3 linked regions of the Oreochromis niloticus genome follow. The protein of the gene in region 3 purifies or fractionates together with the protein of the main gene of each other region. This does not show direct contact. Links are inferred from orthologs where the notes say so. Each region holds a gene or a part of one and is shown on either strand. Other genes may lie near its edges. The genes, in order: cyfip2, brk1 and wasf2.

Region 1 (10,908 bases), on a different chromosome or scaffold from region 3:
CATGTGGTCCGTGTCCACTGTCCGTACCCTAGATTTGTTCTTGATGATCAGTACACGAGCTCACAGTGCTCCAAGTTCCCTGTCAAGTGGTCAGCCCCAGAGGTCATCAGATACTGCAAATTCAGCACCAAGTCTGACGTCTGGTCGTTCGGTGAGTTTGGGCGCTCGTCTGCCATTCAGCTGTTTGGTTTGCATTTCTGATTCACTCGTCAGAGCTGTTACGGTTTTGCAGGCTTGGTTAGAGCAGATTAAATCATATTTGTTTTCCTGATGGCACATGTGCTCAACTGTAGTTAAATAACTGCAGTGGTTTAGACATTACATATTAAACAATTTTTTTTATCTTTTGAAAAAAAAAAAAGGATCTGTGCTCGAACTGGAGCACAGTTTTCTTGGGCAGGCTATTACTGCAATTATCCAGGACAAAGCCATTTTTTGGTAAAATTTTATATAAAATAGCTTAAAAGCTAGCCATTTTCATGATTGGGTGACAATTAGTGGATGCACAATAAGCTCAGACAATTGCCGAGAGGAGATTAAATGGACAGAAAGCTTTTAGCTTGACGTGATCTTTGGAAAAAAAAAAAGATTCTGTATTTTGAAGTTATGACTTGCTTGTGTAAAACGGATGTGCTAAAACTAAGTAAAAATAAAACATATTATAACTTCTATAAAAGGGGTTACTACTTCTGTTTCTAAATAGAGTTGAATTATGACCTATTCTAAAAGGGTCTGGATCCAATTACTGACGTCCCTTAGAAATTGTGAAAAACAAATGAACTGTAGTGACAGTTTAAGCAGGTTATTGCTTTTTATTGGTAACACAAGTGTTTTCAATCATGATTCTATGCATTCAAATGGGAAAAGAGTAATAATTCAGCTGTATAGTATCATTCTTACACTGATCATGGGCAGGAGAAAGAGGGAAAAAGTTTGTCTGAGCCATCTTATAAAAGATTCTTCATGTCAAGATTTTTACTTCCTGGTTAAATAATGGTTTAAACTAAAAGAGACAGTCGGACCATCTACAGGCTGTGTGAAGTTCTTGAGACTGCAGCTGCTAAGAATATTAGGAACTCTTTCATTGGATTCTTTCATGCCAGCTTCAGTGGATGAGGCTACCAGAGGAACATTAACTCCAGACTAAACAGAGCTGATTTAAAGGATCAAAGTGCAAAAGCGTCTGTCGACACCATACGTCGCTTTCTGAATGAAGGTTGAAAAAAGAGACCCCGCTTTTGAAAGAGGATTATAAAAAAAAACCCTTAAACTTGTGTTTGATAAAATACAAATAGACAAGTCAAAGCGGTTCTTGGTGGATGAAGTTTGGGATATAAAACTAGTTTCCAAGTTTGGCGAAAAAAAGAAGCTTTTGAAGAAAAGAACGCCGGGGACAACGGATTTCATCAAGCCAATCTGGAGTGAAATACATTTATGTACCTGTGCCAGAGCTTTGTGCCAGTCACAGGCCATGCTGCTTCTTCCAACAGTATAAAGATCTAAAACATACTTCCAACAAGATGGACTGAAACAAAATCATTTGAGCAGAGTGTGGAAAAAGCTGAAACTCACAGTGGGGGGAAAACGTGTTCATCAAACCTGAATGAACCGCAGCGGTTTGAACATGAAGAGTCAAACAACCTACAAAGATGTGTGAGTGTGTGTGTAGGTGTTTGTGTGGGGGTAGGTAAGTAGGTGAAAGGGAGGTGGGCGTCCTCCTGTGAAGAATCACAAAAACTGCTCAGCTGCACAATATTAAAATTAAGGATCAAATACTTTAGCTAGACGACTTTATTTGTTGTATTGAATGAAAGCAAGATGAATTACTTTTAATGTAAGACCTTACAGCAGAGCAAATTTTAGGTGTGTGTGTGTCTCATGTGTAGGTGTGTGTGTGTGTTTTTAATGGGTAGCAACAATTTTGGCCAATTCTGATCTGTAGCAAATTACCCTCAAATGAGGCTAAAAATAAATATGTTTCAGTTATATAAAAAAAATAAATAAATAAAAACACACTGCACTGGACTAGAGGAGCTCACTGTTAAATGAACGATACAAGGCTCCTACCCTCTTGACTAACATGCTTCCATATTGTTTAACAAGTGCTGTCTCCGTGTCCGCCCCTCTTCAGGTGTGCTCATGTGGGAGGTGTACAACGAAGGCCGACTCCCCTATGAGAACCGCACTAATGCAGAAGTGGTGGACTCCCTGAACGCAGGCCTGAGGCTCCTGAAGCCGCGCTTGGCCCCGGACTCTGTCCACCTACTCATGGAGTGGTGTTGGAAGGAGGTGAGGACATTACCCTTTTTTCAAGCAGAACTTCTGCTGATCATAAAATGAGCAAACGATTGACTGTCGTTTGTTTTCTGTTCTGTTCCTAGAAACCAGACGATCGCCCAACATTTGGGCTCCTCTTTCACGAGCTGGCCTCCCTTTCAGACGCCTGAACCAACATGTGATTTTGTGATTTTTATATATAATATTTATTTTATTTATTGACTGTAACCAGTTGCTTGTCAGTTGTAAAGTTAGATGATTCCAAAACAATTTTATATCCTGGATTTTGCACTTTATCTCTTTCGTAGCTTTGTAAGTTTCCCCTGAGAGGGCTCACACAGTCCATTCACACAGCTACTGGTGCTTCCTGCAGAATCATGTAAAGGTTTGAGTAATTCTATAAGCCATATAAAAGTGAGATGTTTGCTTTTCAGTCAGCTGACTGTCATTAAACAGAATGTTTTACATCTTGTCACTTCTGACTCTCTAGTTTCCTCCACTACAATAATGAAATCTTGGCATAAGAAATATGTTTGTTTCTACATGAAGAAGTTATTGAAGTTGCCAGATGTTACATATATTTAGAAATACATGCAAAAGGCTTTCCTGCTTTATGGAGATCACTGAGTCACAATAGTCATATTTTTGATGATCATCCATATACTGTATATATAAGATGGACATAGCTACAACAAAGTCATGAGTCATGTTTTTTTTTTTATGAATTAATTTTGGAGTCATAGGTGACCACATTTGGTCAAGATTTATTTATTACTCATTGCTCGGATACATTGTAATATGTGGTAAGTAATTTGACTCATTGAAACTGTGCTAAATTTGGTACCGGGCCACGAGAGTTGAGCCTCCGGTGTTAAATTTATGGTTTTCAGAGTTTGTGTCATTAACTTGGTTTCCCTGGGTCTTTTCCCGTGTTGTAGTTGTGTGTCTTATTTTGAAAGAAATATTTACATGTTACCATAGCAACCAGAGAGCACTAAGGGCAGAGAGGAGGATGTTACTCTCAATGTTGTTGGTGCATTTCAGGAGGACGTTGCTAATAAAGTAACACAATTACACAGTGAATTTGCATTTATTATTATATTTACAAAATACCACAGTTTTTGGCTACGTACACACTGCAGGCGAAAGCGCATCAAATCCGATTCTTTTGACCCTATGCGACCCATATCCGATCATGGTATGACAGTGTGAACGGCACAAATCCGATATTTTCAAATCCGATCTGGGTCACTTTCGTATGTGGTACTGAATCCGATACATATCCGATGTTTTAGAAAGCGACTGCTGTTTGAACGGTCATGTCGCATTAAATCCGTCTTTTACCAGTTATCAGCGCCGGAGAAGCGCCCGAGAAGACATCGCGAACGCTTCCTGGCCATCCAGTGTAGATGTCAGTGAAACTGTTGGGAAGACAACGTGAACATTTTATTTGTACTGTATAATCTGCAGATTCTGACAGAAATCTGCAACTATCCTTTGAAGCACCGCTCCTCTCTAAAACAGCAATAAGGATAATTATTAGGTTATCTACATTATTATGTAAATAACAAAATAACTTAAAGCAAAAATTGGGAAACGTAAAGTCCGAAGTCTTTATATTAAGGGCCATCAGTCAAACAATATTGTTTGCTCTGGGTCTAAACAGAGCGCGTTGTGTGTGACGTCTTCTTTTGCGCATGCGGGCCGCTTTGATCGTTCACACTAGAGCACGTTTGCTGTCACATTTTATTTGTAGTGTGAACAAGCAGACAAAAAAATCGGAATTGAGCATTAAGACCTGCAGTGTGAACGTAGCCTTTGTCTCGGGTTAGGGTTTGTCTTTTCTTTTTTGTTGTATTTATCAGCAACACCTTAAAGGCCGGTCTGTTAAAATATTGTCTGACATTAAACCGGTCCTTAGCGTAAAAAAGGTTGGGGACCGCTGGTCTATACCCACATCAATTTTTCAGTCAAAGAAGCCATACATTATTGGAATGACTCACTTTTGGAGCCAGACTCCAGTGGCCAGTCAAAGAATTGCAGTTTCTGGCACAGACACAATAACTTCCGTTTTCCCCACATCAAATATGGAGGTGATTGGAGGTGATCAATAATTCTCTTGTATCATGTCAGCCAACGCATTCTTTTCTGAGGATAGTGGCAAGACCTGGAACTGCAGTTTCCTGCTGGGACATAAAGTAATGTGCAAAAGTCTTGAGCCACCACTCATTTCTTAATATCCATTATAGGAAAATGGAAAAAAAAAAAAAGGTGCAGAAATCTTTTTAAACATGTGCAAACATGCATGGAAATCCAGTGTAATTTGGCATACCTCGGCCTTTTCTTTCCATTTCCCTTCCCTAAGGATGTCTTCTTGACACCCACTGACACCATTTCGGATGCGGTTTTGGCAAACAGTAGATGGATCAGCTGAAGGGTCAGGCACATCTCTCAGGTTCTAAAGATACCATTTAAAACTGATTTGTTGCTAAATTGTGTGTTATTTGCAGATAGAATGAATGTTGGTTCATTGTTTGAGTGCCTTGGTGGCTTTTCAATGCTTGAAGTGTTAAAGCAGCCAATGTATAAAGAAAAACTTTGAAAGACCTTCAGAAAGCCTGGAGAACTATCACTCAAGACCACATTAAGAGGTTACAAGAAAGTCAAGAAATCAAGAGTGACTAAAGACCTCTGCACAGCATTTTCTTAGAGAAGGCCTTGCATATTTCATCAAGCCGATACTGAACACAACACAACACAACACAACTCAGTTACAACATATGGCTTGATGGTAGAGGAGTCTGGGTGCAGAACTGCACCTTTCTCCATATGAAAACATCTGGCATCTCATGAAATGGAAAATACTACAAATCAAACCCAGGAATGTCGAGCAACTAGAATCCTATAGCATTCAATTTTTGTGATTTCTTTGCTTAAAATTGTCCATTTTCTCAAATTAAGCATGTTATATGTTTTCTATGTTGTCGTGTGAATAAAAAATAGGTTTATAAGATCTGCAAGTGAAAATAGCTTTCTGTGGTCTTTAAACAGTTCACACAACATCGCAAGTTTTCTGGAATCAAGGTTATAGCATGTTGTCATTATAAAGTACTGTATTCAACACATGCATTTGAAATAATAAACAATAATATTTAACATGTATAGGTCTACTACATGCAACTTGAATTCTAAATTCTAAATAGTAGTACAAGTTGGGTGAAGTAGGGGCCCTTTACTTTTTTTCTATATCCTATTTATCATGTAATTAGAATTCATACAGAAAACTGAGAATTTATAACCGCCTCCTTTAAATGAGGTTACCCTCAGTTTCCCTATACATACAACATATACCCACAGCTTTTGATGTTATCAATTTAAAAGCCTGAAACGCATTATGTATTTATCTGTACCCAAAGTATTTTTAAGCAGAAAAATAGAAGCTCAAATGAACGGAATCAACATGTCGGGGCCCCTCTCATCATCGCCTGTGCTCCACTGTGACTGTCTCTTTAAGAAAATGCACTTGCAGCCATTTTCTGCTCTTTGTGTGGGGTGGATTAGCACCGGGTTGGTACTGGGCGAAACTAGAGCATCAGTCGACATAGAAGACGTGGAAAAAAATAAAATAAAAACCGAGGAAACATTGGATCGCCGTCGCAGACCGCGACACGGTCCGCCCGCTTTAGTTTGTCGCCGGACGGACATGCAATTTTCAGGTATGTGGCAAAAAGTAGCGATGGATGCAGACGCAGCGAAGAAGATGAACGGGGCTGGTGATGTGCTTTGGGTAGTGATGATGGCTGGAGACTGGAGTGCTGTTTTCCCCCCTTCTTTTTATTTTTCTTCCTTTTCGCATTTTACATCCTTTCCCTTTACTTATCTGTCCGTGCGCAAATGTAACAATAGGGGGATCCTTGTAAATAGGAGGGACTTGATTGGGATCGAGCGCCCCGCTTTATCGCGGATAATTGTGGCACATGAATGGGATCCCCGTTAGCTTACATCGGCATCGTAGCTCACGCTGAGATGGGTGGGGTGAGGAGAGGGTGCCTGTGTGGCAAGTGCACTGATGAATGATGGAGCACGTAAGGCTCCACGGTTTTCTGACCTGATAACAGCCGTTTCGCTGCACAGAGCGAAAAAAGAACGTTTTGGTGTTTCAGATTGCTCGGATTCACAACGATGCTCTGGCTTTTTAATATTTTTCCTTAAAGGTCCTCTCCCCTCTTTCCAATCGACTAACGGGCCACAGCATGGCGAGATGCACAGGATTGTTTCACAGCTATCGCACCAGCAGGCAGGCAGGCAGGCCCGTTACTGGTGCTCAAATGACAGGTTCACCCACTTCCGTCTCAGACAGGCTTAGTGTAAACCCAGATGTTTTTCCTTTCCATTTCTCTCCTACAGACGAACCTGCCAGTTTGGGTAGAAATATGAGCCTGCCATTGCTGCAGACTCTCTGAGCTGTAAATCTGTATGCCAGACCCTCACCCACAGGCAGTGATGTAATGCTTGAATCTTGATGCTTTGCTTCTGCTAATAGTAAGGATTGCAAAATAAAACCACAATGAAAAGGAAACCTGGTGCCATTAATAGTCAGGTAAAATTAGGATTATTTTAAAGTCTTGTTTAGGTTTATGATAGTTTTATGGGAAAACTTCACATTTTTGACTGACTAAAATGAGTGTTTCTTTAACTGAAAGTGTAATTTGCTAAGAATTATAATAATAATAATAATTATTATTATTGTCAGTATTAGTAGAAGCAGTAGTATTAATAAGAATAATTTGTTGCAATTCAGGTATTGTTGTTAATATTAGCTTGCGGTGCTTCGTAACCTCGCTCATGTGTTAAAACACACACACACACACACACACGTTAATTTATGATGTTATTTTTTATGTTCATGATAGCACTGTATATAGTCAAGTGGCAAAAAGTATTCTTCATATACACTAAAATATAGATAAATAAATACATAGGTTTATTGTTCTTCTTCTTTGCAAAATACATATTCATTGCATAAGATAAAGTAATCAATTACTCGTATTAGTAGCATCACTGCTCGATTGACACTTATTTACAGATGTACATTCCAATGAACCCAGAGTACCATGGCACTAAAATCTGTTAAGCAAAATGTATTTCCAAAAACTACAGCATGCATGTAACATACACATATGTCAACAACGTACATGTAGTGTAGATCTAATGTCAACGACTAACAAGTACACGTAATGTCAGCCACATACACATAACATACACGAAATGTCAACAACATACATGCAACATACATATAATGGTGTTCATTTTTCAGGTCAGGTACTTCACGTACATTTATAATTTGTAAAGATTTGACTGTTATTAAAAAAAAAAGTTCCCAAAAGCTACATAGATGTTAATAATCCTGGTAACATAGACAGTTTACATAGTAAGTTACAGATTCATTTGTGTCTAAGAGAAGTTAAGGGTCAATACGTACATATGCTACGATCATTATAGTAAGATAATAATTAGTTGCAACTCAAGTACTATTTACATTACTGAAGTGAATTCAACGTTGGTTTCTACGAAAGTTGGCTTACAGCCATCTGAAGTGAAAAACCATCAAATCATTTACTGTGAGGAAGCATGAAGTCGGTCATGTTCATGTTTGTCATGTTTTAAAATTAGAAGGAAAAAAAGACAATTAGCTAACACACCTAAACACCACCACAGCATCCCGCTATTATTGTCACGGAGAGACGTCTGGACTGCTAAGGCTAGTTACCAGCTGTATGTCAGGCTAATGTGGTCTAAACCAGTATAAAGCTAGAAATGGAGCTGTCTAACATGTCCCTGTTTAATACATCGGCTGAGAATAAATCATGAGTGGTTAAACTTGACTCATGAATTCGTCTCATCCCCGTTTCTCCTTTTAAGAGCTATGCTGTGAGTGCAACCAGGCAGTTCAACGTTAAAAGGGAAGATTGAATTACATCCTTTAGCTTATTATCTATTTTGCTATGTTTTGGGTAGTGAGGGGGGCTGGAGCCTATCCCAGCTGTCATGGGGCAAGAAACAGGTTAAGGCTGATTCTTGATATGAAACACCTACAGTCATATTAGAATCACCAATTAACCTAAACCCAAGCATGCCTTTGGGTTAGGGTTAGGTAGCTGGAGTAACTAGAGAGAACCCATAGGAGGACATGCAAACTCCAAACAGAAAAGCCCCAGACTGGAGTTCACACCAGACATTCTGTCACTGAGGCAATAGTGCAAACCACAATGCCAATGTGCTGCTTTCATACCAGTTCCATTCTATTATATTGGTTAAAATTAACATTTAAACATCCTTATATCTCCAGAGTTCTTCAGCACACAGTATATTAAGGAGCAGCTGAGTAGTCAGTTGTGAAAGATGTGTTGGAAGCAGTAAACTGGTCAACAGTAAGAACTTGTGCAAATGCTAAATTGTGATAGCTAGAAGACTAATTAAGGGCATCTCCTAAACAGAGGGCTTTGTGGGGTATTCCTGGTATGCATTAGTTAGGGCCTACCAAAAAGTGATGCAACGTAATCCACTTGGTGAAACGGCAGTTTCTTTGTCAGGTACTAAGGCTCGTTAATGCTTTTTTGGAAGGAAAGGCTTACTTATTTGAAGAGCTGAAGCACAAATCGCTGGAAACTTAATTCTGGCCATGATGCTGACCCCTGTTTGTGCTCACAGCAAGCATGTGAGCATTAGAAGTGGCCCATGGTGGGCTGCTCTGATTAATCATCATGTGGGCGGCTATATGTGTGCAGTGTTTACCTGGGAAAGCTATATAGGTACATAAGCTAGAATATTGGAATAAGTCAGTGTGATCATCAGGGAAGCATTCTGCTAGGAAACCTTGGGGTCATTATCATTCATGTGAGTTTCATTTTTCCACTTATCACCTACCTAAACATTGTGGCAGACAACAGCATTCAGCACATTTTCTCCTTTAGCAGAACAATTTGCTCTGCAAGAGTCCGATTTGTTGATTAGGCCTTCAGATTTCCAAGATGTAAATCCTGTGGGACGTGTCCAAAGAGGAAAAAACAATCTGTGCAGGTCCCACCTCACAACTGTTACTTGCCCAAAACAGCTCAGTGATTCAGGGTACAAGTACAACTATTTTGCAGTTGACTGATTTGAAAAGCACAGTGAGACAATGAGTCTAGATATAAATAACGAACTAGACAAAGAAAAGGGAAGCAGCATAAGCTGTTGTGGAACTGTAGCAGTCAGATGAAGTTATTATTATCACCACTTACAAATGTATTTTCATAAAGTTGCCAACATAAATACAACTAAATACACCTGGTTTACTTTTCGTTTGCTGTCTGTACTTGCCAAGCTTGGTGATGGTTATGCGAGGCAGGTTCTTGTTCTTCCCCTAGTCTGTATTCATCTCTGCAAGCATGACATCACAGAAATCATAAGATGAAAGCAGGTTTTTTCTTCTTCTTCTTCTTGTGCTGCTTTCAGAAATGACAACCAGCCTGTGAAACACCTCAGCCACACACCGTCCCCTGCACAGGATGCTCTGCACAGACGCTGCTGGAACGCACATTTAGCCGCAGAGTTAGTTGGTGTCGCTGAACGTTTTCTAAACGGTCGCATGCGTGACTAAATGCTCGAGATCGGTATTGTGCCTGCCTTTGATGCTGATCACATATAATCTTATTGCATGTGGGTGAATATGCTGTGTATTACAAAGCTAGCCTTGGGTGGGAGATCCCATGGAGTGGTGCGAGGCCGGAGTTGACACACTTTCTCTCACTTTCTGTCTTCCTCTCAGGCAAGATGTATTACACAAAGGCCTAGCAGCGTAGAGTGATCATATTTTTTTTTTCTGCCTGTTACATCATGCTCCATGTTCTCACTGCATCTCGTTGCTTTCCTCTGCTTTATTCATGATATTCTGGGATCTTCTCACCACCTCATGGTTTAGTGCTGTCACGAGGATGTCAGACCACAGCTCTTCATGTATAGAGGCTGCAGTTATAACGTGAACTCGGCGGGGGGGAGGGAATATTACTGTGTGAGTTTTGTGAAGCGAGTTGTTGTCTCGTTGCCTCGTTTGGCCCTCTTTGGTTGTTCAACTAGGTTTCCAAGTGCCCAGAAGGGAATGAAGGGGCCCTTTTTGCTGGGCGAAGATGCACATACACACAGAGACAGACAGATAAACCAACTGTTTAACAGAGCCCGGTATAGGGTGGGAAAGTTTGTTCAGCCAACCCAGGCTTTAGAGCGCGTCTGTATTTGCATGCACAGATGGGACTTTAGCTGCACTGAGCGCGTTTGTCTGCCCGACAAAGCCCCTGTAGCGAGCTGCGTGTTTCATTTTCTGTATGCCGAACGGTTATAAATAACCAACCGGGTCTTAAAAGAATCAGACAGTGTGCGCATCCAGGTTGTAAAGCAGCACAGCAGTGTAAAGAATACAGGAAACACTCTGTTCAAGATGACAAAATCCTCAGACGTTTTAAAAAAAAAAGGGTTTCTCACACACCCACACACCCACACACACACACACACACACACGTGTAGAGTATAAGTTGGTACACACCTTATAACACACAACATCCTTGATAAACTGCCGGCTTTTATCTGTTTCAC
Region 2 (10,159 bases), on a different chromosome or scaffold from region 3:
TGTTTTTTTGCACTGGAAAAAAAAAAATATTGTGACCAGATTGAAGCAGTTTTTGGCAAGGTGAAATTTATAAATCCTTTATTCATGTGCATGAAAAATGTCACATTTTCAATCTCTGTGACATTTTTTTTTCTTTTAACCTGTATTTGTTTTTAAAAAAGGAAAGAAGATTGTAGCTTCTACCTTCTGACAGAAATATGTCTGGCTGAGAGGGAACCAGAAATTGCAATAAATGCAACATCGGTTCTTTAAAGATACTTTGAAGTGGCTAAAAGTGACTTAATTGATTGCAATGTAGAAAACAGCAGGTACAATACACCAAAACAGGCAAAAATGTTACTCATATCAAAAAAGCAAAAACAAAAAAAACAACATTGGCAATCACTCATTGGCAGATAATGACTTTTACATTCTTGTATTGTCCTAACTTTTTATTCGGATTACGTAACACGTTTTACGAGAAAATTTGATGGCAATAAAACTTTTTACCTGTAGTATTATCGAAAACAGATTTAGTCTCCTTTATTTTTTGGTTTAAAAAGAAACTAAATGTAAGGTTTTACATATCTGGAAATGCTGGTAGAAATCAACGCTACTTTTGTCTGCCATTTCAGTTTAAACACAACTTTTGAATACTATTTGTTTTAACATATCGCCTAAACTCGGAACATGTATCAGAGACGGGAAAAACACAAGATTCCCGTTCCCACTATGATAAGCCACACCTACCATGGCGAGCTGCACTGGCATTTAATGTTGCTACTCACCTTTTGTCAGCCCCCATATTTCTTACAGCTTCCGCACTCACACGACCTCTAGAAAACAGAAAAAAAAAATACCCGTTAAAAATATACGTAGTGGTTTTACTCGTTTACACATAACAATTCCCCTTGTAGTCGCGTGAACTCGTTTAGCGTGAGAGAAACAAAAACCAAAGCCCTCCTTTTTCTTCATTCCATTATATGGAGCTAGACGTTATCAAACAGACGTCTCTCAAGCCAAAATCAACGGCGCTAACGAGAGACCGCGAAAGATTTAGTTTCAACTCTGAACGTGAAGCAACTTACCAGTGTAAGCTTTTTGATGCTTTTTTTTCACCCGCACTATTATTTTTTCAAAACGGTAATAGAAAAATTGCGGAGAAGAAAATTCATCTCACGTCCAAAGACTTATCTGCGATGGCACCTTCTTTATCCCAAGATGCATCGGTGTCACCCGGTGCATTATGGGTAACGTAAGAGTCAGCCCCGAGTTTGCCTTACAGGCATGGAGTTGTCTCTCAACCTGGTTGTTTTCTCACGCTTCCGTAGTTAGTTGTTAAGACTTACTGGGGTTACATGTTGTTATAATTATCATAACAAACAAAACAAAACATAAAACAGCAACAAAGCGTATATAGAAGTTTATTGGTATTTAAATATAGAGCATGGTTAGTTTTTTGCGTTTTCTTAAAATTAACAAATCATTGGCAAAGAAGACTTTAAAGTAGTAGCTAATTAAGGTTTAAACTTTTGAGTGGAAAAATGGTGGATAAGATAAATTAACCTATACAAGCTAGGATGAAGTAGCATGGTGGCACTGTTGTTAGAACTCTTGTCTCATAATAAGAAAGTCCTGGGTTTCTAAAGTCCTTCTCTGTGGAGTTTGTCTTCTCCATAAATTGTGTATCCTCTCACAGTAAATGTGCGTTGCTACTTTTATTTTCTTAAAACGTTTGGTGGTTTGGTGAGTGCTCAGTTGGGTAGAAAAGCCTGGACGAACAGCAAAGGGATATAGCGTAGTGCTGCCTGTGAGGGAAAACCCAGGGCAAAACGATCACATCTCGCAGATTTCCGCCATTTCATTGGCTGTTTTCGTTACATTTTCGTAATAGCAGTATATGGATGCGTTCTGAAAGCGCTTAATCCCGCTGCTGTTAGAATTTCCCTGCAGGTTTTACATGGAGTTGAAAACTGTTAATGTTCTGCTGGACACATAATTAAATTACTGTCATGCTATAACCCCGCTTTTTATTTTTACCATACGCTATTAATAATTCAATTCAACCAGAATGCACATTACTCTTTATGCAAGTATGATTTATTATTCATAAAACATTTGTTACACATTAATGCCATTGCAATGAATTCTTCTAACTGTACCAAAACCTGTATACAATAGCAATCTGACCCATTTAATATGTTGTTTCATGTCAAGCTCTAGTCTATATACACTACAAGTTTGTATTAACATTGTGAGTGTGTCTGTCTGATTACTCAAAATAGTCATAACTAGACCCATCTTCAACATAGCAACATAACTGGTGAAAAAAAGTTAAGTTCAGCTACAATGTTATTTAAGGTCATTTATTACAGTAGTTAAATTCAGAAACATCACCAAACACTTTGCTGTACAAGGAGGCCCTTATTAAATGTAAGTACACAATAATTGTTCATCTTGGCACAGGCAAATGTTCCTCTTTTGATACAGCTTTCATTTGGAAGTGACACTGTACACAACACAGATGGTCAAACTGCAGTGATACAAAATTTATAAATCATAATTGTGCTCCAGACTTATTTTAAACCAATACTAATGGAGCTTAGTTTTGTTTTGTAATAGAATATAATGATGCTTGAATCAATGGTAGCCGAGTCAGACATACATCTTCTGTACAAATGCGTCATGAGATAAAATAACACAAAATCCAGCCATATAATATATTTAAAAAAAAAAGGTCCACATCGTCCCAAAATAGGAGGGTGGAGTCCATCACACTTAGTCCAAAAATTCAGGGCGAGGGATGGCAGGTAGGTTGGGGATGTTATGAGTTTCAATGGCCACTTCTAGGTCAGGGTTTCTCCTTTTGTCACCTACAATAAGAGACATGTTTATGTAATGGGTATGGTTACTTGAGAAAAAGACAAAGTCAAATAAAGAAATAAAGGCACTTTACATTCAGTTAACTTACCCTTGCCTCAATGTATTCAATCCTCCTCTCCAGCGCTGTCAGCTTCTCGTTGAGTGTGGCCAAACGAGATCGACACGACATGTCTGATGGAGAATAAAAAACAAATAAAAAAATAAATTAAAAAAAACTAGAACGTTTAGAGGTTACCACGACGAAGCATGACATTTTCATCAGTTTTTCAACAGCTGCTTAACAAAGATGCACACCGTCACTTTGGGTTAAAAAGGTTTAAAGGGCACATCCGCATACATATTGGCCGACAACACTAGCATTAGCGGTTACGGCAGCCTGCTAATGCTTTCCTATCGTCTGTCGAATCTGGTATATTAATGAATTCATTAAAACGACTGACTCTTAAAGGACAGGTAGTTGGAGGAAAATGTAAGCCGATTCCTCTTCAAAATGTCACAATCCTCCTCCAAAACAAAAACAAGCTGACAGCTAACAGCCGCGCTAACTGCTAGCTGGGAGTGGCCATTGAAAACATCAACATCAATGCTAACAGCTGGCTGAACTAGCTAAGTTCAGCTAGTGATCTACACAAATCTGCCCAGTGAGTTTGTTAAAAGCTTACCAAACGAGTTAAGAAAGTCGGCGATCTTCTTGATGCTGCTCGTAATTACTTCTATGTATTCTCGATTCGCCCAGTCTTGGTGAATCTCTCTTTGCACTGGATCTTCCTGGCCAGCCATGTTGGACGACTTGCAGTATCCCTCTGGTTTCACCCAGGAAGTACCGGAAAGTGTTGCGTCGATGTGAAAATATTATACAACACTTTTTCCCCCAATGAAGATTCTATTTACCGAAATTTCCTAAGTTTCCTACATACATTTCTGAAGGATGTTTGTGTGTATTTTATAGAAATGAGCACAACACAATTTTTCTTTCGGTTGCTACCTTTAGGGGTCGCCACAGCGGGTCACCTGCTTCCATCTCACTCTATCCCTAACATCCTTCTCTGTCACACCAACCCTTTGCATGTCCTCCTTGGCTCATCCGTGAAGCTCCTCTGAGGATTTCATCTTTTCCTCCTGCCTGGCAGTTTCATATTCAACATCATTTGTTTGATATATCCACTATGTGTCCTCTGAACATGTCAATAGCACCTCAGAGTTGCTTCTCTAACCTTTCCTCTAAACTGCTGAACCTGAGCTGTTCCTATGATGGTACTTATTTCTAATCCAGCTCATCACTCCCAGTGAAAATCTTAGCACCATCAAGTCTGCCACCTTCAGCTCAGCCTCCTTTTGTTTTGGGGGTTCCACCGTGTCCCAACTATACTAGGTCTCAATACTGTCTTGTAGTGAGAACTTTCCTTTCACTTTTGTTGCTATTTTTTGGCCACAATTCATCCCTGACATTCATTTCTACTCACTCCACCCTGCTTGCAATCTCTTCTTCACCTCTCTTGTGCACTGTCCATAGTTTTGGATGGTTGAACCCAGGTATTAAAACTCATCCACCTTCACTACCTCTCATTGCATCTTCAGTCTTACACCTGTTTTTATCTCATTCTGTCTCGCTTCTACTTTTATTCCTCTTCTCTCCAGCGCATACCTCTACCTGCTCTCTACTCTCACTCATATGAACATCGCAGTCCACAAAGACTCCTGCCTGATGTAAACCGGCTACCTGTCCATTACCATTGCAAGTAAGAAATGAGCACAACACAAGTATTATAATAACATTTATTTCTCCTTTTAAGTCAAGCAAGTGAAAATATTTGCGATCTTATTAAAGACATTCACAATGGTCGTCAAACTTTTACATTTTTATCAGAAACCCCTCCTCACAAAAACATTTAAAGGAGTGTCGTCATTGAATTAAAAGGCTGAACAATCCAGTAGAACAATCCATTTAAAATATCACAAACAAACCCAGGCCTGCTATAACATTTTTGGAATTTGAGATCTGAAAGCATGGCATATTATCCTAATATGTGTATGTGCTGATTGATCTTTCTGAACTGTTATGTTTTAAATCACCCATAACATTTCCCAGCACATTTTATTTGATTCTCTTAAGAAGCTGTTTAATATCTGCCTCGATGTCACTTGTCAGGAAATTTCTGCTGTAGCGCTTGTAAGGTTCCCCGTCAGGACCAACCAGGAACTTCTCAAAGTTCCAGGATACGTCATTCCTACACACTGGACTCCAAATGATGTACTTTGGATCATTCATGAGACCCAGGGCATCATCGCAGGGGAATGGAAGTTTTTCCTTCAGATAGACAAACAAGGGGTGGGCATCCTTTCCATTCACATCCACCTTCTCGAGGAGCTGGAACTTTGGTTCAAAGCCATTCCCTGGACGGACATACTTCAGAGATCTTAGGATTTCATCGTTCTTGCAGTTCTCCTGTTGCACCAAAACACAAGCACTGTTAGATAGATGTAGACATTTATGTGGGGTTTTAATTAAACAAGCTAAATAAGAGGAATTGTAGTGTAACCTACATTTCCTCTAGAGTACTTAGGTGCAGTATAGAGGCAGGTGTATTTGTATTTGAGATTTATTCCCTAATTTACACTTTGTATTGTATTTTTCTGGATCATGACATTTTAGCAGTAAATAATCGTGCTTATGAACCTGATAAATGTATCCGACAGATATGGTATTTGGACATAGAACATCTTTGAAAATTTAGGATATTAGAAATTAATGCGCTGTATTATATATAAAAATCAATACTGTTAACAGCATTGTCATACCAGGAGTTTATAAATATTATAAATATGCAGGCTAAAATGTTGCTTTGACACTGATAATTTGCTAATATTTTAGTAACAGTCAGAATACTTTTAATAAGACACTTCATGTAATATATTACTTTTTTAAATAAGACACTTTACATGTATTTGAACACTTACGGCCCACTCTATTTTAACTAAAAGATTCCTAAAGTTAAAACTGTTTCATTTCAGACTGATAACACACATGCATGTCTTTAAACTTGTTGTGTTACTAAAATACGGCTCATAGGCCATATTTCTCACATGTCAAGAATAAGGAAGCTAGGCCTGGATTTGGCTAGTCCGGAGTTTTGGTCACCTCAGAAACATTACTCTCTCTCTCAAGTAAAAAACAAACACGCTTTGTACCTGATGTCCAAACTGATTGCAGGGCACACCCAAAATAACGAGACCTTCGGCGGAGTAGCGAGAATGAAGGTCGTTCATTTGAGTGTAGTCCCTGGTTGTCGTTCCTCAGAGAGACGCCACATTTTCAATAAGTACAACTTTGTCCTTTAGTGCAGAGAAACGGAGAGTTTCTCCAGACAACAGCTTAGCTGTCAGGTCGTAAAACCTTTTCAAATGGCCAGCCATTGTTAAAAAATCCAGATGATTTAGACTTCTGAAACCGTGAACTCGGATTAAAAGGCTTTTCCTTATCACGTTTCAAATTTGCTCCAAGTCCAGCCCTCGCTTTTATTCTTAGGGCGGGACATGTAGCCTAATCTAGTAACACCCCTCAGTGCAAATGCAAATTATTATTATTATTATTATTATTATTAGTAGTAGTAGTAGTAGTAGTATTGTTTTATTATCGTTTTGTAGAAGGACTTAAAGCATTTAATTTTCACGTGCTATCGGAATCTCTCTCTATTTTTTTTATTTATTTCTTTATAGATACCAATCTATAAAGATAAAGTAGCACAAGAATTTAACAAATGTGGTAACTCAGTATGGTAATTATCATTGTTTCTAACCACTTGAGGAAGTCACTGACGTCTAAATCTCCAATCAAAATAAGTCAAAAAATGACATAATGTTAAGTTTTTACTTAGCAAATATTTATCAAATGACCACTGCCAATTTTGATATTGGACACGTACACAAACCTACACAGCCGAAACTGCAGAAACTCTATTAGCAAAACGTATTTCACATCGGTATGTCTTAAGAGATTTACAGTTTGTTTACAACAATCCCCCCTTTTTGTGTGCATGAATGGTACTTTCCAGGAAGTCACAGGAAGTGAATTTATTTATTGCTTAGTGAAATGACTTGAGAACTAATGACTGGAGAAGTGGAAAACACACAAACCATGCTGTTAAACATGGTGGCTTTTTAAAAAATAAGAGCCATAACTGTGTTTACTAACGGCTCCCCCCTGTGGGTAAACAATCATGTCAGACTATATGAATGTGTGTGTGGTCAGTATCCTGATATCCTGCTATCCGTTACATCTTGTATTCGGGAATCTGCTCAGAAGTTACTGTGATAATTGGCCATCAGCCAACAAGAAAGAAAGATTACACCCGCCTACAGGTTCATACGAGGACCTCGTCGACACTTTCGGGAGCTTTTTTGGGATTCGAAAAGGACTGGATCACAGCTTCCACTTTTGGAGTGTTTTATGTTGACAGTACTAAGGTAAATAATAATTAAATAAATAAAAGGTCAAACATCTGCTAAACACTATTTTTTACTATACCATATCTGTTAGCAATAATATAAAGACTATTTTCTGTAATGTCTAAATTATTATTATTATTATTTTGTTAATAATTTAAAATATATTAACCTAAAAAGCAGGTATATATTTAAAAAACATCTAAACAAGGCGGTGCAGTTGACCGCTAGATGGCGATGTTACCATTCTCTTAAAATGGCACTAGACGACGAATACCCTACTTTTCACCAGGTATAAGTAGACAACTTATGATGAGATTTATCATATTAATCCAGCTGCATTGTGTACTTCAACAACACAGTCAAGTTAGGGACTTCTCCTGTAGTGATATTCTGTGTTTTTTAGCCGCCCAACGCTTTGGAAGACTCTTGGGACTGACTGATTTTTGTGTTTTCCCTTGAGCATTGTCATGGCACATCTGGTCAGGGTGTGGTGTGGTTTGTGGATTCAGATGTCATGGAATGTAATCCAAGTGCATTACTGGATAGCTGATTTGATACAGTCTGAAAACAGAGCTAAATGTAGGGTATGTAGTATTTCTACTATTCATCAAGGGAAAAGTTCAATGAATAAAGTACAAATGAAAACACTAAACTGAATTAATTAGCTAAAAGTAATGTTCGAAAAAAACTTTTTCCTAGTATATCATTAAAACAGTATATACACATATAAATAACTGGTTCTAATTTTGTGTTGTGTTTGATTTTGTATTGTTACAGTGTGAATTGCACACTATAATAAAACACTAGGGAGTGAAACTAATGCAGTTTAATTAGTAGGATACACTCCTGTTGTAATCATCCACCAGTTAATAAAACACCTTTCCAGGGTGGTTGTGATGAAATTATCCTCTAACATCATTGGCTTATCCTGACAAAATCGTTGCTCTAGTCTATCTGAAGGGAGTTGACACTTCGGGGAGTCTTCAATAAAATGAGGTGCTTTAGAAGGCCTATTTAGCCTAAAAAGAAGATACAGTGTTAAAATCAACTTTCCAGCTTCACTTCACTGGTATACATTGTATCATGTAACCTGTCAATCTGTTGGACACATCCAGGAGTCTAAATACCACCACCTCTTTGGCCTGGTAGGCCTTTTACTTCCTTACCACTGAGACGAGAACAAAGAATCTTAGCCTTCTGTTGCTGCCTGTAAGAAAAATGGAAATAGGATGGCGGAAATTGATATTATTCTAATTTATTCTTTCATTAGCTTGATAGTAATGTGATTTGGCTCTATCTGTAATTGTAATTATTTATTCTTATTTTGATCTAAAGAAAATAATATGCATCAATTCATCCACCTAACCCTCTATCCATTAAACCTACCAAGTCATCACTGATGTCAGATTAATGTCCTTCTGGAGCCCCTTTTTAAATGTGCACACCACATCAGATGTTCTGTGAGCCAGCACAACCAACTTCAATCAAAGGTCAGACTGCTAAGCTTATAGCACTGTTACTGAAGCTGTAGCTATCTGCTTTATTGTCACTCAAGTGCTTCTAACAGCACAATCAGTCATTTGGCTCTTAGTGAGATGTCTGTGTATGTTCCCAGTTGATCCCTTTGTGAACTCATCTTTCCTCAAATCTCCTATAAACAGCAGGAAATAATTTCTGCTGGATCTGTTTTCATGATACTTAATACTGCACCCTCTCTTGGGTCTCCGAAATCTTGTTCCCACATTTCAAGCAAGTCCAGCTTGAGCTGTGTTTGTACTGGGCTCTACCAAAACAGTGTAACAAGGCATAGCACCTTGAAATGGTTAGTCAGAAGTTATTGCATTGCTACAATGCTGGGAGTTGGGAGGTTCTGGTAACATTAGTGCAAAACAAAGGGCTGAGAGAACTAATATTTGAAATGCGGGTCAACAGTTCATCACATAAAAAGAATGAAAACTACTCATGCTTACATTCACACCTACAGCCAATTTAGAGCAACCTGCAACATTTGTGTAATTCTCTGTCTGAAATTTAGTTATGTTGATTGTTTATGGAACTAACTGAACCTTATTGACTTTAAGTCCTAGCATAGCTTCATGCACACCAACCTGATGGAATTTAACTAGAGTTTAGCAATGAACTTTTCCCATCTCCGGTTCAAAACCCTTTTGTTTTGCTCATCCTCTTTTTCCCAAGCCATCAATTAGGCTAGCAGTGGGTCCTACTTCCTCTGCACAGTCACAGCCAAGTCCTGATCTAAGCTAAAATAATTGGCGTAATGATCTCAGCTCATTAGCGTCCAGGCCTCAGGATGTCATTCAGTCCCTGCATCAGGAGCTCCAGAGAGTGCTCTCAGATAGGAGGACTGGTACTTTGTGTCTGAATAGTAAGACACTGTCCACTGATATTTGCTGTGGGAAGGATTTTCAAAAGTGCAGCTGACAGAGGATAAGTGTCAGCATGGCTAGTCTCATCCTCTGTTCTCTCGTTTTTCTCACTTTTACCTCCTTTAATCACAGCCTCTGGAGAAACAAAAGACCTCAACGAGAACTTGAGTTGGTCCTGAAATGGTTGCCATGGATACAGGGCTGGAGCAGCTCTGTCTGTTCCTCCAAATGGCTAACACATATTCTGGGCCCCACTTGCTAAATCCTCCTTCTGCACTAACCTCTTCACAGTTTCAAGGCCAGGGGCGTTTCTCTGACCCAGTGTGCCCACTTCACCGCCCTCCCACCTTTGCATCCAAAAAATGTGTGTGAGAGAGAACTGAGGGTAGATTGTATAGTTTTCCTGTCCAATTTGATATTCCAAATGACAAATTGGTTCTGGAGATGTAGATTGGGTAAAAAAA
Region 3 (11,397 bases):
CCTCAGAAGAATTCCTTATAAGAAATGAGACATCGCTGTGAGTCCAAAAATAAACCAGACCACAAGTACAAATAACAAATAATAAGAAACACGGACGTGATTAGCATTTGGTGCTCAGGCAGCATCTGTTTATGCACATTTATAACAATTTCAGAGACGTGCCAAACGCATTTTAAAGCAGCAGAAACAGATCATTACACAAAGTGTTGAGAGAGAATAGCTTGTTCTTCATCTATACAGCTTGTCAGGAAATCGGACTGTTTTTTCTCCTTATCAGGCCTGCTGTGAGGCCGATGAAACACTGCAGGAGCTGAATCAGCAAAACTTCCCATTTTGGTAAAAAGAATATAATCCAAAACAAGGAATTTAGGACTCTTTGATGTTATTGAGTTATAATGAGTACTATTAACTAATTTGTGCACATATATTTGTTGTATTCATTCTATTAATTATGACATATATTAAAATAAAAAACAAACATATATACATATGCAAACACACACACACACACACACACACACACGTATAAAAGTATGCAACAATATTAGTCCCATCAAGAACAGGGCCCAGTGTGACTCACACATTTGTTTACTGCAATTTTCCAATGACGGCCAGCTCTACACCCAACCCCCCGAGAACATTTTCTGACAGGACATACCACCCAAACCACTGTGTACAGATCCGGTGATAAGGGGGGAAAGAATGAGCAAAATAATGTCTGATCGGTTTTTTTACTTTGTAAAGAGAAAAAAATAACTTTTTATTTTATTAATTAAATTATTTATAAGATATGCTTGAAATCCACATTAAAGCCTACTGGGTATGTCAGGGCTCAGAGCCACTGCAGCCTTGTGGATGACGCTGGATGAAAATGATTGACGTTTTGTGATGGACTATTGTGAAGATATTATTTTACTATAATTAGACTTTGATGGTTTTTGTTCTTTTGATTCCCGGTCACTGTTAATGACTGATAAACAAAAAGGAGGCATCTCAGAAAACTTACATCAAGTCAGACTTTGGTACAACAAACTCCTCTCCCATCTTACGCCGTTCCCATTCGTCCTTTCTGGTCTTGATCTTTCGAGGATTGAGGGTCCGCTGGTTCAGATGGTCTTTCTTCTCCTTCTGCTCATTAAGGAGACGGTTTAAAAAGTGCAAGATTAGCACTGGATTCGAACAATTTCATGTGATGTGACTAATTGTAGATTGCTTTTACTTATGTAATGACTCATGTCTTTGTGCGTATGAGGGTGTTTATGAGTCTCACTCTGTGCTTGCGTTTCTCCTTCATGATGTCCTTGGTGTCCTGCAGCATCTTCTCCTTCCACAGGTCAAAGAAGTAGGAGGGGTCGGTGTAAAACTTTAGGGCCTCCTTCCCATCGTCTCTGTAGACAACAATTTACAGACATTAATAATTATTTCTAGTTATCATTTGCACAATGTGCTATCTTACAAGTATGAACAAAAAAAAATAAATACAGTGTTAGTTAAAAGATGGTTATCTGCCATGTGTGATAGTCTTAAGATGCCAGTAAACTTCCCCTTTTAAAAGAAAACTTCACTAAAAATACACTAATGTCTTTAGTCACATCCACATCACACTGCGCGGATAAATCATTGTCCCCAAAGAATGATCCAAGTCAAATTATTACCACATTTACATTCAAACCAGGCACCGCTCTACACATCACATTTAACATTGCTGGGGTAATTACGCAGAGATCATCCTCTCACTCTCATCTGCCTTCTGATTATTCACACTTCAGATGACACATCTTGCCTTGTAAATGATCTACACTCACAGATATCTTAGCTTGTGACTAAAGACGCTTTACATGCATCCATCCGTCCCTTTTTCTTCCACTTATCTAGGCTGGAGCCTATCCCAACTACTACACAGCAAAAGGCAGTGTACACCCTGGACAGGTTGCCAATCAGGGCTCCCACAGAGAGACAACGATTCACAGTCACATTCACACCCACAGTTGATTCATAATCAACAATTCACATAAAATGCATGTCTTTGGACTGTGGGAGGAAGCTGGAGCAGCTGGAGAGAACCCAGGCAATGGTGCTAACCACGACACCACCATACTGCCCTCTGGGGCTATTTCCCACAGAGTATCTTCCCACAATCAATTGATTGGTGGGTTATTTAACAGCAAAACCAACAAGTGTGGCTTGTCAAACAGCTGTAAGTATTAAAACCCCCAAACTGCCTGGACTTAAACAGGTTACACACTAAAAACAAAACAACAGGGAAGACGATGGCGTCGACACCATAATTCTCCAGGATTTTGCAAAGGCGTACTATGCGTTTTCTAGTGTAAAACTGCCAGTTGTGTTGGACTGAGCCTCCTTAAATCAAACCTAATACTGCCTAGACACCTCCGAGACCCACTCCTTGATAAGAAGCACATGTAACAGGGGTAAGCTTAAATAATGCACAGTCATTACAAGAATCTCCCATGCATGTGTGTTTCCATATGGGCACATGCGCTTGCACGTGTTCTTGTTATTAACTGCTGGAGCTGCTGCAGTGGATAAATATGAGCTTGGTCTGTGCAGCATCTTACCGGTATACGCTGAGCTGGTTGAGCGGTGGAGGAGGATCGCAGGTCGTGTAAGTGTCTTGTACAGGCATTGGCAGAGACGGCCTGGTGAAGAGCTGCTGGTCCTGGGTCAGACTGCTTTTGAAAGCCTTCTTTGCAGTGATTCCCTGCAAAGTAACTGAGAGAAACAGACCGGCAATGTTTTAAACATGTATTGTGTTCATTAGATTCTCTGCAAAGGAGGTTTCAAACCAATACTCTACACTGATACCAGCATAAGCAGTAACGTTAACAGTAAAATGTGCAAGTACATACCCTCCTCTTCTTTGGGGTCCAGCTGGGTGACTTTAACCTGCAGGCGATCCACTCTTTCTCCAAGCGAGCTCACCCTGCCGGCAAATTCTCCAGCCTGAACAAACAGCTCCCCGAACACGTCCTCTGCATATTTGCCTGCACGCGTGCACACACACACACAAGTTTCTCACTTGCACCAATTAAAGGATTTATCTCACGCATACATAGCCAATGAAAATTCATATCTACATAAAAATGCATTAACCTTTGTTTAAAAACAATAAACATCCATGTAATACATATTCATCACTGCTCATTAACCATTCATACACACACTGACACCCGAGCATAACAGAAGCTTACTGAGGCTGCCGAGCTGGCGGATGATGTTGGCCAGGCTTATGTTGGTGACACATTCCAGCTCACTGCGGATGTTAGAAGGAATGGGATGGCGACAAATATGCCGCGGCTCTATATTCCTCGTCACCAGAGGCATGGTGGGGTGTGCTGGGGGTAGGGCAGCCCAACCCTGATGGAAAAGGAGAGGTAGGTCAGGGGAGTGAAAAACATATAAATGTAATCAAATTAATATTAAATTTTACTATATTTTCGCACCCAATGAGCACCTATTTTCATTATGACACGACTGTGAACTGGTCCTAACAATTCGCAGACTAATCAAATTGAGGTAAAAAACAAAAAACATGTTCCTTCCATTCCTAAATAAGTCACATGAGACAGACGCCTACAAAAATACACTGACCCAGACAGAGCTAAAGCAGAAGCAAAACTATGCCTTCGCTCCACCCATCGAACATGCACCACCCACCCGGTTTAGAGTGGACAAATCTAATATGTCCAAAATAGCAAAGAGCAGAACTAGGTGGATTTGTGACTTCCCCACTGCTTACAGCAGTGGAAACACATCACGTTATTTTAAACAGATTACAGTCAGGGCAGCGGTGTGAGCTCACGCAGTGCAGTAGGTCCACAGTGTCCAGACTGAATAAGATAAGCAAACGACAGTTCCGATTAAGGGGTCAGAGATTTGCAGTGACTGCAGACTCTCCCTGCTTTCAACACAGTGCGGCCTTGATTTTGGTTTAGTCTCTAAGTACAGCCTGTTGTGACTGCTGTTGCCCATTGCAGCTGCCTAATTACAAGTTTTTTCCTGTTGGTGGTGAATCATGGCATAAATGTTACTGTGTGTAGAAAAGGAAAGAAAAAGAAAGCGGGAAAAAATGGAGGGTCGCTACCTTCGTACCTCGGGATGTGTATATTACCAAGCTACCTGGAGGATTTAGTGATTAATCGTGAATGAAGGAATGCGTCCATTTCAGGCTTAGAGGCTTGTTCGTCACTGACAGGTCGCCCACTCTGCCTTTGACAAAGTGCTATTAGCCAGCTTTACTGCACTTTTTTCCCCAACTTTACACCGAGCTCCTAACTTTCTCTGACGTGAGTAAATACGTGGTAAAAAAGACGGGTTACACTTTTTTTGCGTCCCCAACTTCACTTAAATGGATTAAATGTAATTTGGGATGTCGGCCTTGTCAGAGCAGGAAGTAACTTCTAGGCGCCTCTTATATCGAAGGAAAAGCCAAACAAACATACATTTACGCCACTCGCTTAAACAAAACAACACTCAACAAAGACATTTCACTTACCGTCAAACCTGGTAACCGTAGGCGTCTCTTTATACAGCCCTACAGTTGTTATTGTCTCAAGATTTTTCTTAAGAAATGTTGTTCGGTACTCTATGCGAGACCGAGCTAAACAGATCGCCCAAGTCCCGAGGTTGCAAACTTCTGATTGGTCGAGCGGCGGAGTTCTTCGAAGCTGATTGGCTGTTGGGCCTGTCGCCTGCTATAACCGAGAACAGGATGTGGAAGTTGCAACGTAAAAAGCGCAACTCCACCCAAACTAGCGGCAAACATCTGTCCGCAATTTACGTAAGAGAGGGTGGAGGCAGCGCCACATTCCAACGTGCGCTCAAGCGAGTTGGAACGCGTCCGAGGAATGACTGGCATTAGGAATGACTGGATAAAATGTGCTGTGGAGAAAAGCTCCTACCGACAAGCAGGTTGTCCAGTAAGCCTCGGTGAGTGTTAAGTGCCTGCTTAACCTCAGCTCAGCCCGAGCAAACTGCAGAGCTTCAAGTTAGCGTGCATCCAGTGAAGACTCAATCACATAGAAGTTGGCGTCAACTCTGTGAATATGTGGTGAATACATTTGAGACGGGTGTGGTTATTTTCATGTTGCAATGGGCTTTATCTTGTGCCCACATTTGTTTTGGCATATAAAGTTAACACTGTTACACCCAGCTGCTTTTGTTTTCCTTCATAGATCAAGTGTCCATACAATGTGGTTGGAGGAAATAGACTATCAAAGTAATTTAATTGTTGAACGCTTGTAGACTTCTTTTTTCTTTTTACTTTTTTGTGCTGTTTCCCACTATCAAGTCCATGTAAATACAGTACGTAGGTTGATGTGTGCTTCTCTCAAATTATTAAACACAACCTTTAGAATACACTCATAAAGACATTAAACCTTGTCATTTGTAAACAACCACAGATTCCAAGATCATCAGTACAAACAACTATATGTGAGTACAAGTTATTGAGATGTGTCACCACTTTGCCAAGGCCTAGAAGAAGCCCCGAACTGTCACCCTCAGTGACAGGAAACTGGTTAGGATGTTCAGGAATAATCCAAGAACCACCAAGGCTCAAGCCTACTGCGAACTGGAAACTGCAGAAACACCAGTGTCACTGTCCACAGTGAAGCATCACCATGGACTGAGAAGGTGCTTACCAAGAAGGAAGCCCCTGCTCCAAAATCAACATCTTCAAGCTCAACTTAAATTTGCCCACATGGACAAACCAAATACCTTCAGAAGAAAGATTTGATGGTTGAGATGGTCAATGGACAAGATAAAGCTTAAGCTATTCTCTAAAGTTGTAAAGAGTAAAGTTGAGGCTCTCAAACCAAACAACACGGTCCAGCGGTTAAGGATGATGGTGGCAGCGTCATGCTTCGGGCTGTTTCAAATTCTTCAACTTCACCTCAAATCAACAGCTAAACGGTTGAAACGTGGACACAATTGGATGTCTTAACAGGAAAAATCATATCAAGCACATAACAGTTTTTCGAATGGATAAAGCTATAATAAATATAGGAAAATATGGATAAATATAGAAAAAAACAAGAGATAATTATTTTTTTATTCAATTCAGTTTTATTTATATAGTGCAACATTGAAACAATAGTTGCCTCAAGGTGTTTATCTTCCACAGGACACAAATTATAGGTGCTCTGACACACCTGACCCATTGCATTACAACCAGTCACTAACAGAGTAACCCTTATTTGGAATTTAATGTGGTGGGAATTTAGGTTTTAAACTCCAACTTGATTGCTTTCCTCTAACACATTTTCACAGTATACACACTCATTTTACTATAAAATCTAAGCTCTTCTTTGATGTAAAATTTTATTGCACATATAAGTAATTAAAGCTTACAGTGATGTACTCAAAGAAGTTAACCTGTTGGATCAGACTCAGGTCAAAGGGTTGCATTCTGGGATTCATTGGTAAAAAAACAAACAAACCCACAGCGTTATGGTACAACTGTTAAATAAAGAATAGCCTGTCAGACAGCTGTTTTGCGTTCAGAAATAGTTGGAACATACATACATCCTTTGTGACACAGCAAAATCTGAGTTGAAAATAGTTGTTATTATTTGGCCTGTAACTTGGTTAAAACAGCAAGCCCTTCTTCTGCTCAATATTTGGATACAATAAAATGCTGTTTTAAATATAAATACAGTTTCTGTTTCAGAGTTGGTTTTACCCTTTAACTGCAGATTTCTTCATGTCCACTAGAGGGAGTTGTCACGTGAAGAACTGTGTATGCCTGAAATCCCAGGAAAAACAGGAAACTTCACTAGCTGCTTCCCCCTCTTTGGATAATGTGTGCGCAGCTTCATCCATCAGTGTGTGAGTCTCAGTGTCGTGTGTTTACCCAGCTGAGTGTGTAGGAACTGTGAGCATTTGCTACTGTCTGTTTTAGGACACTGTGACCCTCTCCTGCAGAGCTGTGAACCAGCTTGAGTCCACAAGCTTGAAGACCTTGAAGGACACTGAACCAATAGCGGAGCACTTCCTCATCCCTACCGGCCACCTCAAACCCTGCCCACTGCAGGTGCACCTTGGCAACAAGATGGTGGACATTCTGTAGAGTTCCTGCCTCGATCCAATTCTGAAAAACGCGCCACTCGCCGCTTAGCAGGTCAGCATACAGGAAGTGAACCTAAGGAGAAGAAAGAACAGAGGAAAGTACGGCTCTGGTCTAGCACCTCCCCACCCTCCCAAGCACATACATAGGAAGCCTAAGTTAGCAAAACACCAGATACAGAACAAAGCAGGCTTTTAGCAACAACAGAAAAGACACTGATTAAGTCAGGAACAGAATTTCCAGTCAGCATGCTAAAGCACTGTAAAAAAAACATATTAGATTTGCATATCAGCTGATGTGAATTGGGATGGTACTGAGATCAGCTCAGCTTTACTAAGAACAATTCCCAATACTGTTTATATGTTTAATGGTAGTTTATTAGGATATATTCATGCTATGAGGGTGGCTGTGGCTCAGGAGATAGAACAGGTCGTCTGCCAATCCCTGCATCCCCTAGTCTGCATGTCGAACTGAACCTGGAGTTTCGCCCAATGCATCCGTTGGAGTGTGAACGTATATGTGAATGGGTGACTAGGCTTGTAATGAGAAAGTGTTCTGAATGCTCAAAGTATCAGTTCATTTACCATTTTACTGCTTTCCATAGTGGACCTGTTGCTTATTAATCATACATATGATTATATATAATCAAATATTGAAGATCAAATTATTAGAATTATTAGCTGCAGTTCTCGGAGAAATCGATTGCAGCTCACTGGCAACTGTTGAAAAAACATCCTTACAAGCTAAAAAGTCACAAAATAGAACAATACTTAAAATGTTGAGTCTGTTGCCCTCCCCCTTTAGCATGCAGCAGTAATTAGTACTCTTTTTTTTGTACTGTTATAACCTCTAGTGCCACAATTACATGGCGCTTGGCGATCTTGTTTGTGACCTTACAGTCAATTAATGTTTCATATGCCCCAGCTTACAGTGCTTTCACACAGTGTTTTCCCCCTTCCTTCAAGAACTGCAATGACGTGTTTGCAGTAACTGACAATGAGTCTTTTCCATCACTGTAAAGGAATTTTAGCCCACTCTTCTTTGAAGAACAGTTTTAATTCAGTCACATTGGAGGGGTTTGTAGTTCTTAAGATGCTGTTCTTGGTTCTTTTGTGACCTCCTGGATGAGTCGTTGATGCGCTCTTGGGGTAATTTTGGTAGACCGGCCGATCCTGGAAAGGTTCACCATTGTTCCAAGTTTTCTCCATTTGTGAATAATGACTCTCATCCTGGTTCACTGGAGGCCCAAAACCTTAGAAACGGCTTTGTAACCTTTTCCAGACTGATATGCGTCAGTGATTTTGTTTCTCAGTTGTTTCCTTAGATTGTGAAGTGAACATGACGTGTTCGCTTCACTTTGTTAGACAGGTTGTATTTAAGTGATTTCTTGATTCAACAGGTCTGACAGTAATCAGAACTGAGTGTGGCGAGTAAAATTGAACTCAGCTTTCACAAAAAATCTGGTTAATCACAGTAGATTTAATTAACAGCACTGTCGGTCATAAATGTTGGAACAACTGAGCCACACAGGTTTAAAAGCTGGCAATGGCAGCCACTTGTGTAGTCTACGTCATGGGCTCTACATACTTGAACCAAATTTGGATCAAACTGGAGGCAATCAGACACTGAAGCAGCCAAAATTGATTTGCTTGTCCAATCAGGGGGAAACAATACATGAAATCTCTAATTAAGCACATGAACAGTGTTCTGAGTTGTCCAAACATCTTGTGCACCAGGTTTGGTTATTTTTGGATGAAATCTGAATAACAGAAAGTCAAATGTGTTAACAAATGCAACAAATGTGCACGGTCTGTATCAATCTCCTCTGCATCATCCACTGAATCCATACAGCTGTGTTAGAATTTTCCTTGTCCATCTAACAGTGAGAAAGTTTAGCCCCCCCCAAAAAAAAATTTAACCCACTCATTTGATCATTTATCCACCTATGGTGGCGCTATTGCTTACATGAAGCATATGACAGCATATGAAGCTATTGTATATTTTAACTCCATGCTGTGGCACTAATTATTTATAGATGAACATACTGGACTGCTTGCAATTCTGTCACACCGCACATAATCAAACTCCAGGTATGCAGTTCCCTCTTGTGGCTGCAGGAAGCAATTGGGTGATTCATTCACTTAAACTGTTGCCATGGTAGCCAGAGATGGCGCAGAGCCCTGTTGCTATGGGAACATCTGAGTAAAAGAGCTTTCGGGGTATGTTGGGGTGAAAAGACTCTAAGGTATGTTTGTTTGGCACTGTTTGTCTACATTTCGGTGTGTGTGCATGCGTGCGTGTCTTACTGTGTGATGTCCCAGAGCTGCCATGATGTCTGCCAGTGTCTGAGAAACACCACCCGGGTTTCCTCTCCTCTTGTGCGCGCGCTTCTTTGGAGCTCGCCACTCAAGCCACATCTTGTGCTGGCTGACCACGCCTCCATCGCCATGGTTACTAGCCAAACTGTTGCCAAGGTGACCACCAGATGCATTAGAGTTGCTGGGATCAAAACAGTGTATTTCACATCCCAGCCCCGACACAGTCTTCAGAAAGTCTGCATCTCCCCCATCCATGCTAGAGAGACAAAGACAGGAAGGAAGGCAGGAGAGCGCAAAGGCCGTTTGAACATTATTGCATGCATGATTAAATATGCATTGCATTGTTTATTCCAACTGAACCGGTGATAAGAATGCATAGCAGCACGTGCACTGACATAAGGCTCAGACAAGTGGCACACCTGAAGGAATATGCGACACACGTTTTGTGTGTAGCTGGAAGGAGCCAGTCCTCAGCACACAGCAGCCAATGGGCTGGCGCTGCAGGGCTTTGTGCTGGCTGAGCCCGCCCTGGAGATAAAACCTTGGAGCAGTTCATCTGGGGACAGACAAGAGGAAAGAGTCACATAAGACTGGCTGGATGGAGGTCTGGAAACAGCGCGACACAGAATTAGCATTCAAATGAGAAGAGGGGAAGCTAAAGAAGGAGAAGTTGTTCAGAAAAGTGGCCAGAATTGTGTAATTTGTGAGAACATTGCAGAGTCATGGCTCGAAATATCTTTGAATAAACCAGAATTGTTTAACGATAAACTCATAATTTGATGGCGGCTGTTTAAAAAGGCCACACGTGAGATGCTTTAATTTGTTGCATTGAATAATTAACGGGGACTGTTTCTGCTTTTTTCTTATTTTCTGTCACATACGCTGCTCCTACTTTGTGCTCACATTAAGCACGGTGAAAGTTTCAAGTCATGCAGTCAGAGAAAGTTAAAGGTTTCAAACAGCTCTGTTGAAATGTCACCGACTGGCTATCCTTATACGGTCATCTCAAACAAGGAGCTCTGTCTGTGAGCACTGATGCCCCACCCACCTGCAATTCAAAACATTTTGTTTGTGAGGGGCAGCCAATCACAAGAAAGCTGGCTCTAAAGTGAGACACAGAAGGTGAACTAACATGCTTCCCTGAGGTCTAGTATGAAATAAATAAGAATTCATTTAAGTCTGAGAATAAAAACATGGAGCATTATCAAGCCCCTTTAAATAATACCAAACTAAACCAGCACACAGTTTTTTTTAATTCTTACATATATAACTTTCCTTCCCACTTCTCCAGCACTTGGTGTTGCGTAAGTTTTTACTCTTGTTTGGGAGTTTCCTGTCTGGAACAAAAAGTCCTTACTGGCTCCAGATTTGGTAGATTTCTGCTGCCAGCATATTGACAGTGCCTGACTGATCATATTACTGCTATGTTAACCCCCACACTCGACTGCAGTCAAAGAAGTGTAGTAGTCAAAAAAAATGAAGTTGTTTTTTTTTATTGATTTCTGTTAAGGCTTGGCAAGGTCTAACTCCTGGCTACAAAAATTTGAAGCCCCCACTGAGCTGGAGAGCAGCCTTCGGGGAGTGCGTTATTTATTGGACCAGTGGTTTCCATCCTAAGGGCTGGGACCTCTCCAAGGGGTCAGAAGATAAATCTGGCGGGGGGGGGGGGTCATGAGACCAGATTTTTAAACAGACAGGAAAGATAAGAAAACCGTCTGCAAATAAAAACCTGATTTTTCTTCCGTGACTTTCCTCGTGAAATATAGCAAGCACTTTTTAAAGGGTCACAAGCCAAAAGTTTGTGCATTCGACTATATAATATGTGTATTACTGCACATACAAGTCCTTTATAACTTCAAGTTGTATTCATCCTGTTATTTCTCATTGCTTATCTGTAATCTTGTGAAGTGTGTTATGCTGTAGGCTTACTATAGTCTCATTGTTCTACAGTCCCATAAACGGTTAAAAAATTACCAGTCTTCAGGTTGCGTT

Evidence for each region.
Region 1: the proteins of wasf2 (region 3) and cyfip2 purify together in Homo sapiens (co-immunoprecipitation; 3 studies listed by BioGRID and IntAct, with this or other methods). This does not show direct contact. The link is inferred for Oreochromis niloticus from reciprocal best matches to the Homo sapiens genes WASF2 and CYFIP2.
Region 2: the proteins of wasf2 (region 3) and brk1 purify together in Homo sapiens (co-immunoprecipitation; 3 studies listed by BioGRID and IntAct, with this or other methods). This does not show direct contact. The link is inferred for Oreochromis niloticus from reciprocal best matches to the Homo sapiens genes WASF2 and BRK1.

Annotation. Positions count from the first base shown.
Region 1 is NC_031966.2:30,315,820-30,326,727, forward strand, and holds the start of cyfip2 (cytoplasmic FMR1-interacting protein 2), read left to right. Parts: upstream 1-5,808; 5' UTR 5,809-5,993; intron 5,994-10,908. Other genes in the region: itk (tyrosine-protein kinase ITK/TSK), read left to right, coding at 33-151, 2,132-2,289, 2,382-2,447. UniProt on the Homo sapiens protein: Involved in T-cell adhesion and p53/TP53-dependent induction of apoptosis. Does not bind RNA. As component of the WAVE1 complex, required for BDNF-NTRK2 endocytic trafficking and signaling from early endosomes.
Region 2 is NC_031970.2:16,913,401-16,923,559, reverse strand, and holds brk1 (putative protein BRICK1), read right to left. Parts: upstream 3,796-10,159; 5' UTR 3,643-3,795; coding exon 3,525-3,642; intron 3,034-3,524; coding exon 2,951-3,033; intron 2,853-2,950; coding exon 2,826-2,852; 3' UTR 2,058-2,825; downstream 1-2,057. Other genes in the region: rbm5 (RNA-binding protein 5), read right to left, coding at 768-784. UniProt on the Homo sapiens protein: Involved in regulation of actin and microtubule organization. Part of a WAVE complex that activates the Arp2/3 complex. As component of the WAVE1 complex, required for BDNF-NTRK2 endocytic trafficking and signaling from early endosomes.
Region 3 is NC_031985.2:22,539,409-22,550,805, reverse strand, and holds the start of wasf2 (actin-binding protein WASF2), read right to left. Parts: upstream 4,663-11,397; 5' UTR 4,517-4,662; intron 3,379-4,516; 5' UTR 3,346-3,378; coding exon 3,213-3,345; intron 3,006-3,212; coding exon 2,871-3,005; intron 2,734-2,870; coding exon 2,580-2,733; intron 1,389-2,579; coding exon 1,271-1,388; intron 1,129-1,270; coding exon 1,007-1,128; intron 15-1,006; coding exon 1-14. Other genes in the region: methyltransferase-like protein 24, read right to left, coding at 6,857-7,162, 9,394-9,661, 9,825-9,961. UniProt on the Homo sapiens protein: Downstream effector molecule involved in the transmission of signals from tyrosine kinase receptors and small GTPases to the actin cytoskeleton. Promotes formation of actin filaments. Part of the WAVE complex that regulates lamellipodia formation.